2 linked regions of the Elephas maximus indicus genome follow. The protein of the gene in region 1 binds, or shares a complex with, the protein of each later gene. Links are inferred from orthologs where the notes say so. Each region holds a gene or a part of one and is shown in the gene's direction. Other genes may lie near its edges.

The links. Proteins that work in one complex are often made in the same cells at the same time.
Region 2: the proteins of RAB11FIP1 (region 1) and RAB14 are in contact, whole or in part, in a crystal structure (PDB 4D0G), measured with the Homo sapiens proteins. The link is inferred for Elephas maximus indicus from reciprocal best matches to the Homo sapiens genes RAB11FIP1 and RAB14. Residues at the interface, in NP_001002814.2 of Homo sapiens: Glu1252, Ile1255, Asp1256, Asn1257, Leu1259, Val1260, Met1263, Pro1267, Asn1268, Leu1270, Arg1271, Ile1272; in NP_057406.2 of Homo sapiens: Leu28, His29, Ile44, Gly45, Val46, Glu47, Phe48, Gly49, Trp65, Arg72, Arg74, Ala75, Val76, Ser79, Tyr80.

The regions. Positions count from the first base shown.
Region 1 is NC_064840.1:62,784,123-62,794,386, forward strand, and holds the start of RAB11FIP1 (rab11 family-interacting protein 1), read left to right. Parts: upstream 1-5,942; 5' UTR 5,943-6,015; coding exon 6,016-6,392; intron 6,393-10,264. UniProt on the Homo sapiens protein: A Rab11 effector protein involved in the endosomal recycling process. Also involved in controlling membrane trafficking along the phagocytic pathway and in phagocytosis. Interaction with RAB14 may function in the process of neurite formation.
Region 2 is NC_064827.1:71,201,585-71,211,738, reverse strand, and holds the start of RAB14 (ras-related protein Rab-14), read left to right. Parts: upstream 1-5,733; 5' UTR 5,734-6,014; intron 6,015-10,154.

The DNA.
Region 1 (10,264 bases):
TGGACTAGGAGGAAAGGCCTACTTCCTACTTACGTTTTGGAAGTGATCTACTTCCAAAAATCAGCCAATGAAAACCCTATGGATCACAATGCCCTGATCTGCAACTGATCATGGGGCTGTCCCAGGACTGGGCAGGTTTTCACTCTGTTGTGAATGGGGTCACCATGGGGCCCACTACACAGTATCTAGCAACAACAGCCCCCAGCAATGATCTTTGCCTTCTGGTTCCTGCAGCTGGGGGATAAGGAAAAGCTGTGGAGAGGGGTGACTGGCAGCCAGCAGGGCCATGGAAGACTCTCCCTCTGCCTCCTCCCTCCACCCCCAGCATGGCCTTCCAAAATCTCTTATTGAGGAAAACTCTTCCCAGCTGCGCTCCAACACAAATAAGGCCTCCCTGAAGGCACAGCATGGCAGCCCTGTGCATCCTGCCTGCTGTCTGTAGAAAGGCCCAGGACCGGACCGTTCCAGGGGCTGGAAGCCGGGCGTTCTGCTTTGCTGCACTGGAGAAGGGCAGCTTTTCCTGTCTAACCTGCCAGGCACCTTGTCCGTGTGCTCAGGGCTGCCTGAAACTCTTTTCCTCTTTCAGTCAGAGAGCGAGGCGGGGCAGGGTAGAAAGAAAGAACACTCATCTGCCGCACCCAGGCCGTGGGAGGTGTTTACAAACACCAGGCTTTCAGAGAGCCTGCAGGGTTCAGCGCCCCTGGGGCCACTGGCAGAGGGGAGAGGGTGCGCGGGGCAGCTGAGGTGAAGCCTCCATGGGGGGGCCACAGAACAAGGGTCTGCAGTGGCCGGCATCGTCCTTGTGCCTGTGCACCCCCCATTCCAGACTGTGGGTCTGTAAAACTGATAGAAGACAGACTCTTACTCCAGGGTGGTCTGTGAGCGAGTCTTGAGGGACAATGTGCTCTGGCCTGGAGGAGAGTAGAAAAAACAACTAAGGAGTGTAGAGGGCAAAAAGCCAGCTCTGATCCAAGTCCAAAGAGCCCTGATGGCACAGTGGTTAAGAGCTTGGCTGCTAACCAAAAGGTCGGCAGTTCAAATCCACCAGCCGCTCATTGGAATCCCTATGGGGCAGTTCTTCTCTGTCCTATGGAATTGACTGGATGGCAGTGGGGTTTTTCTGGTTTGGACTCAAGTCCTGTGCTTCTCTGACAAATGTCCAATTTCTGCCTCCAGTGAGTCCCACTCCTCTGAGTTAATCCCTGCCAGTGTCCAGGATCTAGAGAAGAAAGATCTGGGTTTCTCCAGGGTGGTGAGGCAGCCCTCTCCTCCCCTAACCTACCGCCTCCACTTTAACCACGGAGTCTATTTGCGTCTGACAGAAACCCAAACACATGAGGTCACAAGGTGCTAATAATTTTTCCTTCCTCTCATGCTCTTCCTTGTCCTGTCATCCTTTCCATGAGTAGAAAAGATGTTTCATTTCATACTCAGCCTGTGAGGCTGTTTCATTCCCTGCTCTGTTTATTGTGAGAGCACCGCTAAAACTGCTAGTGTCAGGAAGGAAGGGAGACCAGAGCTGAAAAGTTTACTCCTGGAGTCTGTTCAATGACTGCCCTGCTGGAACACAGTAGAACAGTGGACAAATAGGAAACACAGCCAAGAGAAAAATGGTCTTAGTTTCTTAGTGCTGCTGTAACAAAAATATCAGGTTAGTAGAGTTAAACATTGATTCACCATGTTTTTTGTCTATTCATATTTCTTCTCTTCTGACTTCTCAGTTCATACCCTTTGGCTGATTTTCTATTAAAGTATTCATTAAAAAAAACACAAGAGGGTGGCTTTAAAGAACACAAATTTATTTTCTCACAGTTCAGGACACTAGAAGTCCGAATTCAGGGCACCAGCTCTAAGGGAAGGCTCTCTTTCTGTGGCTCTGGGGGAGGTCCTTGTCTCCTCCAGCATTCCTTGTTTTGAGGCAGACAGCCTTAGAGCCCAACCCTTCTAAAAGACACCTGTGCTGGCTTATCCTACTACATCCAGGAGAATAAGATGCACATTCTTCTGAAGTTGTCCTTAACAAGATAACCATGGAATGGGCCACAGATGGCCTCAACCTACCTCTAGGTGCAGACTTGACATGCTAACGAAGGAAAATCACCTCTTCGTTCATCCCAGAGAATTGAACCCTTGTCTAATGAAAATGCCTAGTCATTCCCAAGTTCTGAGCGCCCCTGTGAAGGTCAATTCTGAATATTCATGATGAATTTGCATTTCCTTGTCTGCTCTCTGTAAAAGCCCACCTCCCCAAGCTGCCTGTGAGCTGTCTTGGAGGCAACAGCCCCTATTGCTTCTTTCCTTGCGCAATCAAATAAAGGCATCTTTCTGATCTCCCAACTCAGCCTCTTGTATATTGACTGTAAAAAGTCACGGCAACATTTCCCTTGGCAATCTTCAAGTGGCATCCATCTTTACCCATTTGTGCTTGCTTACCTCTGTGTCTATGCTGCTCCTCATAACTGGGAAGATATTAGGTTCAGGACATACCCTACAACAATAGGGCCTCATTAACATAACAAAGAAAACCTTATTTACAGACAGATGACATCCACAGGTATAAAACCAAAAACCCATTGCCATGGAGTTGATTCCGACTCATAGTGACCCACAGTGACAGAATAGGGGTTAGGATTCCAGCATGTATTTTTAGGGAACACAATTCAATCAGTAACAAAAATGTATGTCATATTTAATTTAGTATCAACTTAGACACCAAGGATGGGTAAGGGGTGGGGCAGGCTGGGGCTGAAGGCAGACAGTCCCCAGGTGAAAAGAATGAAGGTATCTGGTTGTGACCTGCCCTACTGTTGGCCACTGGACTACTTCTGCTCACACCTGCCTTACAACCTGATGCACAGCTGGTCATGTCACTGCTCAAAATCTTCTGAAGGTTGGCTCACCCTGGCCTAATGGTAAGGCATAAACTCTTTAGCCTGGTGTTCATGATTATGTGATCTGGGCCCACATATCTTGGCTATCTTACCTTCATGAACCAATATCCTCCAAAAGTAGCCTACATTCCAGCCAATATGGAGTACTCCTATCCCCTATACATGCCATGAACTCTCTAGCCACCAAGCCTTTGCTTAGGCTTAGGCTGTCCTCTTCTCTCTTCCTGAAATATTCTTCCTCTATCATCCCTTCTCTGTCTGCCGAATCTTCCTTTTTTTTAATTGTGATTCTCTCTCTCTCTCTATATATATGCATATATACGTATATTTGCCATTTCAGCCATTTTTACATGTCCGGTTCAGTGACATTAATTACATTCACCAGGTTGTGTAACGATCCCCACTATCCATTTTCAAATTTTTCCATTACTCTTAACGGTAACTGAGTGCCACTTCAGCAATACCTCCCCCGTCCCTTTCCCACCCACCCCTGGAAACTATGACTAAACTTTGGTCTCTGTGTATTTGCCTATTCTAGATATTTCACATAAGTGGGATCCTGCAATATTTGTCCTTTTGTGTCGATTTATTTTACTCAGCATAATGTTTTCAAGGTTCATCCATGTGGGAGCATGTGTCAGAACCTTGTGTTTGTGGCTGAGTAATATTCCATTGTATGCGTATACCACATATCCGTTAAATCTTATACATTCTTCAGGGCCCAGCTCAATGCCATTTCCTTTATAAAAATCTACCCAGTCAGAGAAATTGCTCTCTCTCCAATATACTCAAAACATTTTATTTACATAAGACTCGATAGCACTATTTTTTTTTTTCCTTTATAGCATGTAGCATACAGTGCCTTGGAACTGGGTCTGTTTCAGCTTTGTGCCCTCTAGCACATGCCTGGCACAAAGTAATTTCTCAATAAATCTTTGTGGAACTGAACTCAGCCATGAGGTTGAATGAAGTTAATGGATCTTAAAGAAGGGGAAATGTACCAAAACAATAGTGTTCTGTTAGATTTTCCTGCCTCCTACATGTCTGGTGCCGCCTTTCTTTCTTCCTCCTTATCACCATTAAATATTTACAACGTATCAAAGGGGCTTTTCCCACACAGTAGTTGCCCTTGTTTGCAGACCTGAGGCAATACTGTCTGCCCTCTAATGTTTTGCATGGTAAAAAGCCAAAAACACCAATCCCGTAAATCAATTCTGACTCATAGCGACCCTATAAGGCAGACTAGAACTGGCCCCATAGGGTTTTCTAGTCTGTAATCTTTACTACATACTCATGGCTGGCTGGAATAATCTGCAAACTCTTCATTTCAACAGCACTTCCTGAGTACCTGTGTACCCAGATTTCTGCTAAGGTCTCATATAAGTAAGTCATCATCTGATCCCTTCCCTCAAAGGGGCTACAGGAAATCAAAACTTGGAGAAATCTGAGTGAAGCCTTGAAGTGGGTAGCACTTGGCAAGGGCGGCCAAGGGAACAACAAAGTTAGTAGAGGCCTGGAGGTGGGAAGATTAGCTGGGCTACAGGTTAGTTTGTTCAGGAGATAGAGGAGACTTGAGTTAGGGTGGGGCTAAAATAGGAATGTCTCCAAAGCTCTGTTAAGTCTGAAGTTAGTGTGGTAGGTACGTGGTGAGATGTCACTGTCGGATACTGAGCAGGTCAGTGAGGCAAGTGGCAGTGTGGATTGGAGGGGGGAGTGCATGGAGACCAGCAGGGAGACTAGCAGCCACCCAAGGCTGGGGTTCTGACAATCTAGAAGAAGCAAGGGATGCAGTAAAAACACTGGATTGGGAGCCAGGAGACCTGGGCTCTAGTCCTGCCCCTGAGCTAGTGAGATCTTGAACAAGTCACTTCTCTGCTCTGGGCTTTTCCTTACCTGTAAAACCTAAAAACCTTCCAAGTGACCTTCTGAATCTGACAACTGACTGGAGAGCCTTTGAGCTAGGGCACTGGGAAAAAAGGAAAGAGGCCGGTCTAATGGACATTTTAGAACAAGGACGTGTCTCACCTGGAGCCCAGAGACAAAGAGGAAGGAGAGACTAAGAGGGCCCCACCCAAGGGCCCCAGTGAGGGAGAAATGGGGAACCTTGGGGACAGCCCCTCGCCCTGATGACTGGTTTGGCAATCCTGTTTCGGTTCATCCTGTCTTTCCTTCGCCTAATTTAGCTTCACCTCATTCGGTGAGAGCAGGGCAAAATAGGACACGCCTACACCGACCACACTGCAGGGTGGTGGCTTTTTACTTTTCCCTTTTCAGGCCCAGAAATAAGCCTTTTCCTTCCCCATCCACCCGGCGCCTATCTTCCTCCTGAGCAATGTTCGAGGCGTGCAGAAGTGGCAAAGAGCAGTGAGTTTATAGAGAGCTCACAGTGGGCCAGGCACTGTGCTGAGAACGGTAATGCATTATTTTTTCCTCCACAGTTCAATGCAGCGATCGTTACCTCATTGTACAAACGAAGAAGCTGAGACTTAAAGTCGCTAATTAATCTGCGCATGGTCACACACCTACCAAATGGCTATGTAAAGACTGGAAATGAGGTCTGACTACTAAGTCAGCGGAGCTTGCGACCCCATCGCTCACCCACCGCCTCTCAGATCCGAATTCTCGAACCCCGGGCGCCTTCCACGTCCTGTCCTCGCTCTGCCCCAGCCGCACCAGCTCCGCCCCAAGCACCCCGGACGGCGGAGGCGGGGCTGGGGCGCGGGCAGGTGGGGCGGGAAGGGGCGGGGGCGTGGCCGGGGAGGAGGGCCCTGGCGGGGGCGTGGCCGGGAGAGGAGGGCCCTGGCGGGGGCGTGGCTGGGGAAGAAGGCCCTGGCGGGGGCGTGGCCGGGAGTGGAGGGCCCAGGCGGGGGCGTGGCCGGGAGAGGAGGGCCGTGGCGGGGGCGTGGCCGGGGAGGAGGGCCCTGGCGGGGGCGTGGCCGGGGAGGAGGGCCCTGGCGGGGGCGTGGCCGGGGAGGAGGGCCCTGGCGGGGGCGTGGCCGGGAGAGGAGGGCCCTGGCGGGGGCGTGGCCGGAAGCCTTAAAGTTGCCGGGGCGGCAGGGCGGGCCGTTGAGGCGGCGGGTCGCGGTGATCGTCTCACGTCCGAGCGGACTGTGCCGCCGTCACCATGTCCCTGGCGGCCTCGGCGGACCGGGGCGCGGGGTCCTTGTGGTCCCCAACCCACGTGCAGGTGACGGTATTGCAGGCACGGGGCCTGCGGTCCAAGGGCCCCGGGGGCACGAGCGACGCGTACGCGGTGATCCAGGTGGGCAAGGAGAAGTACGCCACCTCGGTGTCCGAGCGCACCCTGGGCGCGCCCGTGTGGCGGGAGGAAGCCACCTTCGAGCTGCCGCCGCTGCTGTCCTCCGGGGCGGCCCCCGCGGCCGCCTCCACCCTGCAGCTCACCGTGCTGCACCGCGCGCTGCTCGGCCTCGACAAGTTCCTGGGCCGCGCCGAGGTGGACCTGCGGGAGCTGCACCGGGACCAGGGCCGCAGGAAGACCCAGTGAGTGCGGGCCGGGGGAGGGGAGAGGCAGCGGAGGAAGGCGCGGGCCCCTGGGGCAGTGGGACACGGGGTGGGAGGGAGGAGAAACATGCGGCCTCGACGCTGAGACCCTTTTAGAGTGAGCGCGACAGTCACGGTGCGTGTTTCAAGGGCACGGACGAAGAGAAGCTCTTCGAGAGGGACCCTCTCTACCAATACTCCTACTCTCACCCGGCTTCACTTCTTCGGCTGTGCGCCCTAGCTTTCCCTGTATTTGAGCTCCTTGAAAGTAGGGGCGGCACCTGGGGGAATTTTAAATCTGCAGGAGGCTGCTCAGCCCCTGGCACATTCATAGTAAGCTCTTAATGACTTTTTGATGAATCGAAAATGTATGTAGGTCAGGCGAATTCCTCCTTATGTGGGTCGTGTGGATATGTGATACGATTATTAATTTATGTAGAAAGTCTCCTGGGTATTTCACTGGCCTGGGCACTCGGAGTTAAGGGATGGGCCAGGGCGGTGGGGATTAACTGGAGAATTGAGACTCACTGACGCCCTGGGGCAGAGTAGAGGCATTACAGTACGGATGGGTGGGGGTGGGACACGGGGAATGCAGGCTGCCCAGTGAGAGCTAACCCACTGCCCACCCGGCGCGGTAATGCCTGAGGCCCAGGGAGAATGCTAGAAGAGTTTAGTCTTTCCTTTTAGGCTGAAAAATATTAACCCTGTTTACCCTGGGCCTCATATTACTAAAAATTTCCCAGTGATGGCTGGAGCCAGGGTCACCCCTTGGCCAAGTGGAACTGGGAAGCCGGCATTGTTTCTCTTTGGAGTTTGTCAAGCTCCCCTCTGTGATCTTAATCCTAATGGATGGCTGCTCATCTGTATCTCCCCCATCAAGGGTTCTGTGTCAGGGTATCTGTTTCCCACACAGAAAGCTGGTCAAAACCCAGTTCACTCCAGTGTGTTACCAATTTATTTGTTCTCTTTCACAGGTGCTTGGAAAGGGCAATGCTTAACCCAATGGAACACTCAATAATTATTCTCATCTAGTTAGTATACCAAAGGAACCCTGGTGGCGCAGTGGTTAAGAGTTTGGCTGCTGACCAAAAGGTCAGCAGTTGGAAACCACCAGCCACTCCTTGGAGACTCTATGGGTTAGTTCTACTCTGTCCTATAGGGTCATTATGAGTTGGAATCTACTCAAAGGCACTGGGTTTGGTTTTTTTCTTCTTCTTCTTTTTTTTTGGTATACCAAAAGCTGGCCTTGCTGATTTTAGTTGGGACACTTTCTTGGACCTTAAATATACAAGCCAATCAGGTCACCACCTAAATTCTACAGTTTATGAAGTACACTGATTCAGTTTGTGTGTCTTGTATACACCTAATATTTTAACTTTCCCTTGTAAGGGAGATAGGAAAAGCTAGAGGATTTGAAGTTACCAGGCTCCCTGTTCTATAGGGTGAGTCCAGTTTGAGCATGCATGTTTGCAAATGCAATACCTGATTCATTTATCTGGCCAAAGATGAAAAGACTTCTGAACTCAAAGCAGATAAAAAGTAGAGAGCCTTGATGTGAAGATGGATGGGGTATCTCTTGGCATCAAATTACAAGCCACAAAGTGAGCAGTGTCATCGTTCAAGAGGGGCTGAAGCAATGCTAATTTTCCATCTGATTAAATGACGTTTGGAATGATAAGTTGGCATCCTTTTCAACTTCATCTGGGTGCTGTTGACCATCCTTTATCTTGTCCTGCCCCAGGATGTGTGGATATTAACTTTCATCACAGCTATCTGTTTCTTCTGTGAACATTTTATCCCCTTGAAAGATGAATCTCATCTCCCGGCCAGAGATGGGGATTCCAGATTCCTGGGTCTGGTGCCAGCTTTGGTCCTGACTAATTGTTGGGCTTCAGGCTGCTTGGTCTCTTAAACACCCGAGTTTTCCTATTTATAAAGGAAGCTTGTTGCCAGCCCTAATTGATGTTTGTAAGACGTTTCTGGCTTCCTGGATTAAAGGGACCAGTGTATAGATTCAAAAGATTCTGTAACTGGTTTGTGAGGAATGAAAACCTTTGTAAGCTCCCTTTTTCAGGAAGAGTTCAGTCTCTGCACCTTCACTTTTCTCATCCTCTTCAGTGTAATCTTTGATGGCTACTCTTATTTTATGAGCTGATTACCGCTGAAGTTACTGTATGACTATCAGGGAGATGGTGCTTAGTTGATGGTTTTTAATAACTGCAAAGGACTTCTTTGTTTCTTTACCACTAGGTGGAATTGCAAGCTTCCATTCTTCACTTCCTGGGACCTGCCAAGGTTCTGGGACACCCCAGTTAAACGAAGCCTTTCTGATGCCCCATTATATCACCTGGGTGCCTGAGATAGCTGAGATTTAGAGAATGAAATATGCACACTTTGACTTGGAGTAGCACTAGAGAGGCGGAAGTTTAACTGAAAGAAACTGGTTGGGCTAGAAAAGTCATTTGAACTAGCTATTAATGGTTTGACTCCTCCGCAGACATTAAAAGTCAGAGACAAAAGCTCAATTCTTGAACTGGTGTGTGTGTGTGTGTTTGCGTGTGTGTGTGTGTGTCTTAATCACTAGCAAAGAAGAGTTGCTGTAAGAGACTGAGATTTGTCATGATTCCAGAAGCCGAAACTCAAGAGCTTACTATGTTAATGTTTCTCTTTGCTCTCTTGATAAGCCTCTGCCTGTCACATTTATTTGGAGGCAGGAGATTATGCTTTCTATCATGACTCAGAATTTGCAGACCTTAAATTTAGTATGATGACACACACCTTTAAAACATCAAACAGAAGCCGCCATCTGTATAGAGGAAACGTTTAGTTAATACACAGATAGGTCCGTAGTTAGAAAAAACAAGAATGGATTGATTCTGCATTTCTACATCTGTTACAAAGACCTGGGCTTTGGTTAAATGGGAGTCAGCATAATAAGTACCATGGTCACAAAGCAGACACGAATCTGGGGGGCAGAATCAAGTGACCAACATATAGAATTCTCTGCTTAGCTCTCTAGTCTTATATATAGTTCACGTAGAGCAAGGAGGTGTGGGGAAATAGTTGTGAAAGACAGATTAAAACAAATATTTGAATGGAGACTTAATATTGTAACAGTCTTCCAGATATGAAGAGATAGTGTGAGTTATGGAGGGTCATTTTCTTATATTTATTGAAGTTGCAAGAGGAAATTCGCCTGATACGAAAGGATTTGGATATCGTCAAGGTTGGCTATCTTGAAGTGTGATGTAGTGAGATGCCGAAATAAGTTGCCAAAGGAAATTTGGGTTATTAAAATGAAATAAAGGCTAGACATGTTTTTCTGGGAGAGTTGGATGCAGAGAAACGGCTTAGATAACCACAGAGATCTATAATTCACAAACTATAAGTAGCTGGTGTCTGTGCGTATACCTTTCCGCTTCCTAAGCATGTTTAAGGTTTTGTAACAGATAAGAGCCATGTTTCCGTTAAGTTTTTGTTTTCTTGGAATTCGCCTCAAAGATAACATTTGGCCTACCTGGAAACCAGTCACACCTCTCACCAGGTCATAGCTCCCTCCCACCCTAGTATAGGAAACTGATAGCTCAATGCCCAGGACAGTTCTCTGTAGATTCTGGGATAAGCAACCCTAACCTGCTTATAGCAATGGAAGGAAATGACTAAGAAAGTCAAAGTCATGGCCTGGGTGGTGCGAAAGATGCTCCCAGATGTTTTTCCACGGTATTATTTGGTTATTGCATTTGTAAGACATTCGGTTAGTATGGGGAAAGGTCTAACTGCCTTTTTTTTTTCCTTCTTGTCTCTGGTGTTCATTCATTGTTTTAGTAAATATTTTTTAACACCTAGTATGTGCCAGGCACTAGGTATTCAGT
Region 2 (10,154 bases), on another chromosome or scaffold:
AGGTTCCAGTTGGAAGTGTTTTCATTCTCACTGGATTCTATGAACTTATTCCATCCTCCATACCTTCTATAACCCAGCCATTTTTGAGCAGGGTATTGTTCACTTTCCAAGTGTTTGATTTCTTTTCCCTGCTTTTTCTGTTATTGATTTCTACTTTTATGGCCTTACGGTCAGAGAAGGTGCTTTTTAATATTTCGATGTTCTGAATTCCACTAAGGCTTGCTTTATGACCTAATATGTGGTCTATTCTAGAGAATGTCCCATGTGCACTAGAAAAGAAAGTATACTTGGCTGTTGTTGGGTGGAGTGTTCTGTATATGTCTATGAGGTCATGTTGGTTGACTGTAGCATTTAGATCTTCTGTGTCTTTACTGAGCTTCTTTCTGGATGTTCTGACCTTCACTGCAAGTGGTGCGTTGAAGTCTCCTACTATAATTGTGGAGGTGTCTATCTCACTTTTCAGTGCTATTAGAGTTTGTATTATGTATCTTGCAGCCCTGTCATTGGGTGTATAAATATTTAATATGGATATATCCTCCTGGTGTATTGTCCCTTTAATCATTATATAGTGTCCTCCCTTATCCTTTGTGGTGGATGTAATTTTAAGTCTATTTTGTCAGAAATTAATATTGCCACTTCTGCTCTTTTTTGGTTGCTGTTTGCTTGATATATTTTTTCCCATCCTTTGCGTTTTAGTTTGTTTGTGTCTCTAAGTCTAAGGTGTGTCTCTTGTAGGCAGCATATAGACAGATCATGTTTTTTTTTAATCCATTCTGCCACTCTCTGTCTCTTTATTGGTGCATTTAGTCCATTTACGTTCAGCGTAATTATAGAGTGCTGTCATTTTGATGTCTTCTGTTGTGTGTTGTTGACAGTTTCTTTTTCCCACTTAATTTTTTTGCTGAGTAGTTTATCTTTATATATTGTCTTTTCCTCATATTTGTCGTTGTTGATATTGTTTCTGCTGAGTCTCTATGTTTTTTCTTGTATTTTATTTTGATGAGTAGGATTGTTAGTCTCCTTTTTCCAAGTTTAGACCTAACTTTCATTTCTTTATAGTGTCTTGTCTTCCTCTCCATATGAAAGATCTATGAATACATTTCTTAGTCTCTCTTCATTGTTTTAATGTTGTCTTCTTTTACATAATGACATCGCTGTTACCCTGTTTTTAGCATTTTTTTTTTTTTAATCTTGATTTTTTTTTTATTTCCCTATCTGGGTTGCTATCTGATTGCTCTGTCCAGTGTTCTACTCTTGGGTTGATATCTGATATTATTGATTTTCTAACCAAAGAATTCCCTTTAGTATTTCTTGTAGTTTTGGTTTGTTTTTTATGAATTCCCTAAACTTCTGTTTATCTGGAAATGTCCTAATTTCACCTTCATATTTGAGAGACAGTTTTGCTGGATATATTATTCTTGGCTGGCAATTTTTTTCCTTCAATGCTTTATATAAGTCATCCCATTGTCTTCTTGCCTGCATGGTTTCTGCTAAGTAGTCTGAGTTTATTCTTACCGACTCTCCTTTGTAGGTGACTTTTCATTTATCCCTAGCTGCTCTTAAAATTCTCTCTTTATCTTTGGTTTTGGTAAGTTCGATTATAGTATGTCTTGGTGACTTTCTTTTAAGATTTACCTCATGTGGAGTTCGATGAGCATTGTGGATAGATATCTTTTCATATTTCATGATATCAGGGAAGTTTTCTGCCAACAAATCCTCAACAATTCTATCTGTATTTTCTGTTATTCCTCCCTGTTCTGGTACTCCAATCACTTGTAGGTTATTTCTCTTGATTGAGTCCCATGATTCTTAGGGTTTCTTCATTTTTTTAAATTCTTTTATCTGATTTTTCTTCAAATATATTTGTGCCAAGTGCTTTATCTCCAATCTCACCAATTCTGCCTTCCACTTGCTCAATTCTCTTCTTTTGACTTTGTATTGAGTTGTCTAATTCTGTAATTTTATTGTTAATCTTCTGAGTTTCTGATTGCTGTCTCCCTATGTATTTCTGCAGCTTAAGTTTTTCATTATGTTCTTTAATAACCTTTCTAATTTCTTAAACTCCTTTATCTGTTTGTTGCTTGGCTTGTTCTGCATACTGCCTGATCTCCTTCCTAATCTCGTTCCTGATGTCTTGAAGAGTTCTGTGTATTAATCTTTTGTATTCCACATCTGACAATTCCAGGTAGCACCTTCATCCAGAAGATCCCCTGATTCTTTGTTTTGAGAGCTTTTTGAAGTGACCATGGTCTGCTTTTTTATGTGATTTGATATTGACCACTATCTCCGAGCCATCTATAAGCTATTGTATTAGTTTATTTTTGCTTACTGTATTCTAGCTTCTTGCTTTGTTTTGTTTTGATATGCCCAAATGGGTTGCTTGAGTGAGCTAGCATGATTATTTTTTGCCTTTGAAGTGCTAACGTCCTGTCACCAGGTGGCTAGAGCTGTTTTCAGGTATATCAGGCTAGAATTGTATTCACTTTTCTTGTATGGATTCAGCTCAGGTGTCCAGGTAGTTGGTCACCAAGTGTGTGGTACAGGCTCTGTCCTATGGTCTAAGTGGGGCAAGGGTGATTGGTGTAGGTACCAGTATCTGGTTGCAGCAGGGGTCATGCTCTGAACAAGGCAGGGGGCTGAGAAACATCCCCCGAGTGTCTCTGAGGAAAGCGTGTCCCTGTTCCCTAGTGCGCACAGGTGGGTGGGTTCTGCAGACTAACCATGGGTACCCAATGCTTTTGGTTGTAAGGACTAGGGGGTGCCAGTTATCCTTGGACTCGTCATGGGTGGCTGGGTGACCTGAGTGGAGCCACCAGTCCTTAGGCCCCTGATGTGGGTAAGTGAAGAGCCTGTTTAATTTAGCAAATTGGTGTCAAACATCGAACACCCACCTCTCCAAAGCACAGCTAAAACAGTTGCAGTCTGCCAACAAGGGCCTATTCTCCTAAAATAGGCCCACACAGGTCCATGCAGGGGGTAAAGGTATTCAAAGTCCACTGACTGTTTATGCCTGGACAGGAGCTGCTTCTGTCCTGGGCTCCCCAGGTTAGTGGAGCTGGGAAATTATCTTTTCCCCGAATTGTGAATGTATTCCTTCTCCAAGGCCGGGAGAATGGCTCAGGTTGCTCAACAGAATCTTTCTCAGGCCCAGGGAAATCAACAGCCAGTGAAGCTGGCTTGCAGGGTGGTGGTGGTGGTGGTGGGGGCACAGAAAGATATACCCTAGTACTTAGCTTTTGCCGAGAGTGCTGTTATTCTCTGGTTCCGGAGGTGTGAGTAGGCTGTGTGGCTGGCTATTTCTCCCTGAAGAAAATGCGGCCGAATGCTATTAGCAGCCCATCGCGGTTGCTCCCAGGAATGGTGCCTGTGGGATCCCAGCTATTCAGGTCTGGCAACTCCTCTTCACTTCTGAACCATCTCTCCCTGCCCCGTCGCTCAGTCCATTTTCTAACTTTGCCTTTGATGTTCAGAGCTCCTAGCTTGTCATGAATATAATTGTTTCACTTGTTTTTTTGGGCCTTTGTTTTAAGAGGGATCATCAGAAGCATCTGGCTACTCTGCCATCTCAGCCCCACCTCTATTTTTGTTCTCTTCCTTTATGAAATATGAGGTGCATACAGGGCTAGTGCCCTTTCAGTTGTATGCATCGTAGGTGCAAGTATGACTTTATAATTGCCTTTTTTTAAGAGACTGCATATGGTTTAGGGAGATGTATATGGGTGCCAAGGGGTGGACTGTGATGGTTAAGGTTGCATTGTCAACTTGGCTGGGCCATGATTCTCAGTGGTTTGGCAGTTATGATGTAGCTTGGCAGCTATGTAATGATGTAATCACCTTCATAATGAGACCTGATATGATGTAATCACCTCCATAATGAGATCTGCTATGAACAGCCTATCAGTTGAAAGGAAGTTTTCTTGGGAAGTTTTCTGCATCCCATATACGTGGACTTTCTGGCAAAGCTCACTAGCTTGTGCTTGCTCTGGATCCTCATCTGACCTCTGGTTCTTGGGACCTGAGCTAGCAGCTTACCTGCCAATCTTGGGATTTTTCAGCCTCCACAGCCTATGAGCCAGCAGCCTGCCATTTTAACTGTTGATCTTGGGTTTGCCAGCCCCTGCATCTACGTGAATCAGAAGACTGCAGCTTGACCCACAGACTTGGGACTTCCAGCCTTTACAATCACATGAGTTATTCCCTTGATATAAATCTGTGTGTGTGTGTGTGTGTGTATACATACCATACCATATCATACAATCTTGTCCTTGTTAAGAAACAATCCTTCATGGGTCTCTTGTGTTTATGAACATTTTGTGAGTAGAGGCACTGACTGCCCTTTGTTCCAGACTATCTTTTAGAAAGACAGTATCTCCCTCTGGGGCAAAGAACAAAATACTTACTGACTGGCTGGGCATTATAAAACAAGCCATATTTATTAAAGATTATAAGAATGGAAACAAAGACTTCTAGAGCTGGAAGGGATGTCAACATCACCTTATAATAGCATATCATGTAATAACCATTCCCATTATTTAATTCTTGTTATATTCCAGAAGTTTTGCACATCTCATTTAATTTTCAGAAGGAGCCATATAAGATACATTTTTTATTATCTCTGTTTTGTAGACAAAGAAATTGAGGGTCTGAGAAATCAAGTGACATGCCGAAGGGCATACTATTAGTGTGACAGAGCAGGGATTCATACACAGGTCTTTCTGAAAATGAGAGATTTTTAAATTACAATACATTTTTTCAATGAAAGCTCATAGGCTGAAGTAGCTTCTGAAAGATCCTGAACGCCAAAGAGCAAGCTCGAACTTCATTTTGAGGGCACTGAGGCAGGGCTGGCTTATCCACTAGGCATAGTAGCACAGCACTTAGGTCCTACACTTTTAGGAGCCCACAAACATGTTTTGCTATTAATACATTCATCTTTATATCGACACGGTTTTAAAATATAATTTTAAATATACATACGCGTGTTTATATATATATATATTTCTAGAGAGGAACGGCCAAAGAAGGCAAAAATGTCCAGGGCCCACCACCGAGGTGCGCCAAATTTTCGGGGAAGGTAATATTGGCCGACTAAATTGGAAGACGTGCAGTGGTGGATAAATTGTGAAAAATGTGGTCGCTATTTCCCTCCTCCTGTCAAAGCCCTCTCCCCCGAAGTGGGGCTAAAAGGGCAGAGGTGAAACACAGGTCAGAAAGGGCCACTTCCTAGCTGTGTAAACTTGGACAAATGATTTGATCTGAGCATCAGTTTCGCCATCGATAAAATGGGGACATGTGCCTCCTGGGGTTCTGGCCTCATCTGCCTTGCTTACCGCTTTGTACGAGGCAACCCATAAATACACGTTGAATGAATGCAGGAAACGCGTGCTTAGCAGTGGCCGCCATACAGCAAGCGTCCAGTAAGTGGTAGTTGCTGGCACTGAAAATCGTAAAAAGTCCCCAGAGAGACAACCCTAGCTCTCCAGGACCGAAACTAATCTCAGCAGGTTCCACGCGAAACCGCGCCAGGTAACTTCTCTAGGAGACGAGGCCACGCGACTGCGCTTGCGCATAAGCGCTTTTCCCCGCCCCTTCAGGCCGGAGTGCCAGGGGGGTGGGCCTGGGCGGTGACGCGACGAGTCCAAAGGGGTGGACTCAGGAAGGGGCGTGGCTAGGAGGCCGAGCCTCGGCTACCTTCTTCCGGGCTCCGCCAGCTGCGCGCGCATGCTTCTCCCCCTTCTTTTGTGGTCCGGCCCATTGCGAGGGTGACAGGAAACCCTGTGCAGGGAGCGCCGCCATCTTGGGCTAGCCCGAGGAAGATCCTGAGGGAGCCGCCGCAGCAGTCGCCGCTGCCACCGCTACTGCCGCCAGCGGGTCTACACCTCTTCGGCCAGCCCGCCTACCCGCGGGGCCTCGGCCGACCGCCCCGCCTCCTCTCCCTGCGTCTGCTCTCGTCTTCCTCGTCCTGACGGCCCCCTCCCGCCCGGAAAGCTGCCCAGCCACCAGCAACCCCCCAGGTAACCCAGGCCTTCCGCAGTGCTGGTCTAGTTGGGGCCTCCGCGCCCGGCCCTTCTGAGGGGCGGGGGCGGGGACGACGGCGAGCGGGGGCTGCAGGCGGGCGGCGCCGTGCGGGCAGGCCCTGTCAGGCCGCGGCGAGCCTGGGGTCGGCGGTGGGCGCCGCGGCCTGACGGGACTCCCCTGTGGGGCCGGAAGGTGCCCCCAGCGCTGCCCCTGCTAGAGCCGCCTTGGCCTCCCCACCCCAGCGGAGACCTTCGAGGCGCGCGGGAAGGGTGTGTTCCGACCTCGCCTTCCCCGCCTCCTGGGCCGGACTGGGCAAAATCGCAAGTCCTGCAGGCCTCTCTCCTTGCTCCGGTCTCTGCGGCTGCAGACCACCCGCCGGAGTTTATCCGCGCGTGCTGCGCCGCCTTCCAGCCCACGAGCCCCAGACGTGGCATTCCCCGTCCTGTAAGGCCTCAGCTGGCCCTGAGTACAAAAGGCAGCTCTTCTCAAGCTCGCCGGCATCTTGGACTGCCTCCGGTGTCCTTGTTGATGTGGCTAGACCGGCTCGGGCTTCGGGCTGGGGAAGGGGTCTGTGGGGCTGTGCTTGCTCACACTGAGTCTCAGAGGTTAAGTAACTTCGAGATCATTATTGGACGAATCCCTAAAAGGCCTGTGACATCCTGTAAAACCATGAGCCCAGGATGGCATCAAGAAATAAAGTTCGGCATTTCTAGAATTTAAGAAAAGAGGAAGGAACAAGCACATTTGGAGGGTTTGCAGCCTGCTGTGTGCCAGGCACGGTTCTAGGTATCTTCACATGTTTGTTTGAGCCTCACATCACCCGTGGTGGTAAGTTGAGTTTTACCCACTTTACAAGTGGGGAAACTGAGGCTTGAAATTGCGACGTGGCTGGCTAATGATGGCCCCTACAAACAAATGGCCTTTTCGCCACTCTTTGGTTGGTGTTTTGTGTATTACACTTAAAAGCTAGGCTATGGTGAAAAACATTTGAAATGCAGCTACAACTTGATCTCTTTTTTCCTATATTCAGATTGGATGCTCAGAGTCCATGATGTCAGCCACTGCGCTGCCAGTCCTCACTCTTACAACCCCAGGGAAGAGATGGCAAGATTTACATTTTATATAAAATTGGGGTTATGAGAGGGCAAGTGCTTTCCTGGTGGTCCCACAACAAGTGTCAGAGTGTAGATTTGAACTCCTTGCAAAGTTTATTGCTCATTTCATTGCTACAGCACCACTGCCTTTTATTAAGATGTGGGTATTGAGGACAATCTTGACCTAGCAAAATATATCCAGTTTCCCACCCCTCTAGCCCCCCAGCTTTTCCAAAAATTTTCTTCAAAGTTCTTTTTAGGCCATTTTACTTGGTCATCACTTGAGGCGATGCAGTGCTACATTTTTAAAAGTTTTTGCTCTTTGTATTTCCTGTTAAACTTCGTATTTGTTGTATACTATGCTGCAGAATTTGGAGCATTCATACAACTGAGTTTTATCAGTTTTCAAATATCTTAGCACAATCTTAGTAAGATATTGTACTATTAGAAGGAACTTTTTGTTAAGGCAAATAAGATATGTTAAAACTAAGGCTAATGAGAGATGTTTCATTTTTTAAGAATGCTTGAAACATTTTTATATGATTAAAAATGCCAAACTTGGTTGCAGACAGTGATTTACAAATAGAGGTATCAGAGATTCTTCACTTTTTAAAAACTTTTTATTCTAGAAAATTTTAAACATGTACAAAGTATAATGATGAGCTTTTGTATATATACCCATTAGCCAGTGTCAACTGTGCTCAATCTTGTTTCGTCTGAATACACCTGCTCCTCACTCTCGCTGAAGTTATTTTGAAGCAAATCTCAGACATATCATTTCATTAGTAATTTTTTTTTACTGGTACTGTGTAATCCTTTTAACTCTGGTAGTCAGTGCAGATCTTTTTTTTTTTAAGTGCTTTCCTTCTTTGAGTGGAGGTTAAGTATTGGAGTACTTTATTCCCTACTCAGCATGCCATCATAATCAGCTGGAAAACTTTGTCTCTTGATACATGGAGGAATCCAGTTATTTTTTCCTTATTTTACAATATTAACTTATATAAAGGTATGATATTAAATATCAAAAATATTTTTTTAAGTGGATCTCAGGTGTAGGTGGATTATTTTCAGAAGGTTGTACTGCTGTTGAGGAAAGGAAATTGAGTACTCATTTTGATTAGATTAGAAAATTAGATTAACTGCAGCTTTGTGTCCACCTAACTGATAAATCGAGTAGCATTCCACTTTAGTGGGCCTACAAGCAAATCAAAATGCATTCTATCCTTGAGCTCCATGAAGACAGGGACAGTGTTGCTTTATTTGCACGTTACTGTATTATTAAGGCTTAGCACTATGTTTTGTGTTTATTAGATGCTCAACAGTATTTTTATGTTAGACTCACAAAAGCAATCCATCTTGGATTTGGTGTTTTTAACAAAATGTCTTTCATGTAAAAAAAAACTTACTAATTTAAACAATGAGGATAAGAATTTAAGTCACCGCAACTATTCGGTGGGTTGCTTTTTTCTCTGTTATGTCTCGAGTTGGCTATGTAAATATCATATGTTCAGTACAGTAACATCATGTGTTCTGAGGAGTAGAATAAAATAGCTATATAACAGTTGTGAAAGGATTAGGCATAGTGCATAAGTAAACACAGTGAAGAGCTGAACTATAAAAAAAATTGAAAATATACTGTTTCTTTTTTTTAAGTCAGTCATCTGATTGGCTTCATATTATGTTCTCCGTATTATTGGTAAATGCGGAAATAATGTTGGCAATATTATGAGTGGGAGTTTCTTTTTTTTTTTTTTAATTTTAAAAAGTATTATCGAATGAATATAGTACGTGTGTATTATAATTGGAGGCACCTTGGTGGCACAGTTGGCTAAACACTTGGCTGCTAACCAGAAGGTCAGTGGTTCGAACCCACCAGCAGCTCCACAGGAGAAAGACGTGGCGGCTGCTTCCATAAAGACATACAGTCTTGGAATAACCCTGTGGGGCAGTTTTATTAAAATTAGTGCAGAGATGTATAAAGAAAGTCAATAATTTCCCCCTTCCCTTTTTTCTACTCTCGTCCTATGTATTCATCTTAATTTGTTGTGTTTCCTTCCATACAATATGCATATAGGGTTGAGTGTGTGTGTGTATGTGTATGTTTAAAAATGGCATATGCTGTTGCATAAAACTCTGCACCATGCTTTTTTTCCCTTAAAATCATACTTCCTGGTTAAAGCATCTAGACTGAATTTTTAAAAACTAGGTGCATATTATTTCATGGTACAGATATACTTTATTCAGTCATTTCCCTGTTCATGGGAGTTTAGATTGTTTATAGTTTTTTTGCTGTAAAAGTATTGCGTTAAATGCACTTGTACCTGTAGCCTTATGTACTGCACCTTTTTGCTTCTGTAGAATACTTCCAAGTGGATTTCAGGGCCTCTTTGATTTTGATTTTTTGCTGTTATTTCGTTAGTCTATTTTCGTATGTCTTTGGATTATTCTTTTTTTAAACTTTAAATACATTTTCCAAAATGTTTCAGCAGTTCAGACTCCCACAAGTAGTGTGTGTGAAAATGTATCATCATATATGTACCTGCACTTTTCAAAACTAGTCATTTATGCGTTTATGTAATCTTATTAAGGCAGTGTCAGATCCAGTGTGTGGAGATAGTGCTATTCTGTTTTTTGCACAATGATTATTGTTTAATATGCATTTAGTAACCGTTTAGATCTGTATGTATTAACCTGGAAATATGTCCCTAGCTTTGTTAAGTGCAGAAAAGCATGTTGCAGAGTTTTATACAATGGCATAGCCCATTTTAAAATATATTCCTCACCTTAAGTAGTGTTTCATTAAGAGATGAGGTTGAGAAATCCTTTGTAAAGCAGTATTAAGCATAGTTAATGTTTAAAAGGGGCCACTTGAATACACAGCACAGTAATTATTAGTGTTTAATATGCATTCAGTAAACATTTCTCTTGACAGCTAGGAAGGTTAGAGGTAAATTTTATATGTGCTGATATGACATTGTTAAATTTTCAGTACAATTATCCTTCCTCTTTGATTTTGATTTTTTGCTCTTATAGTCATTAGTC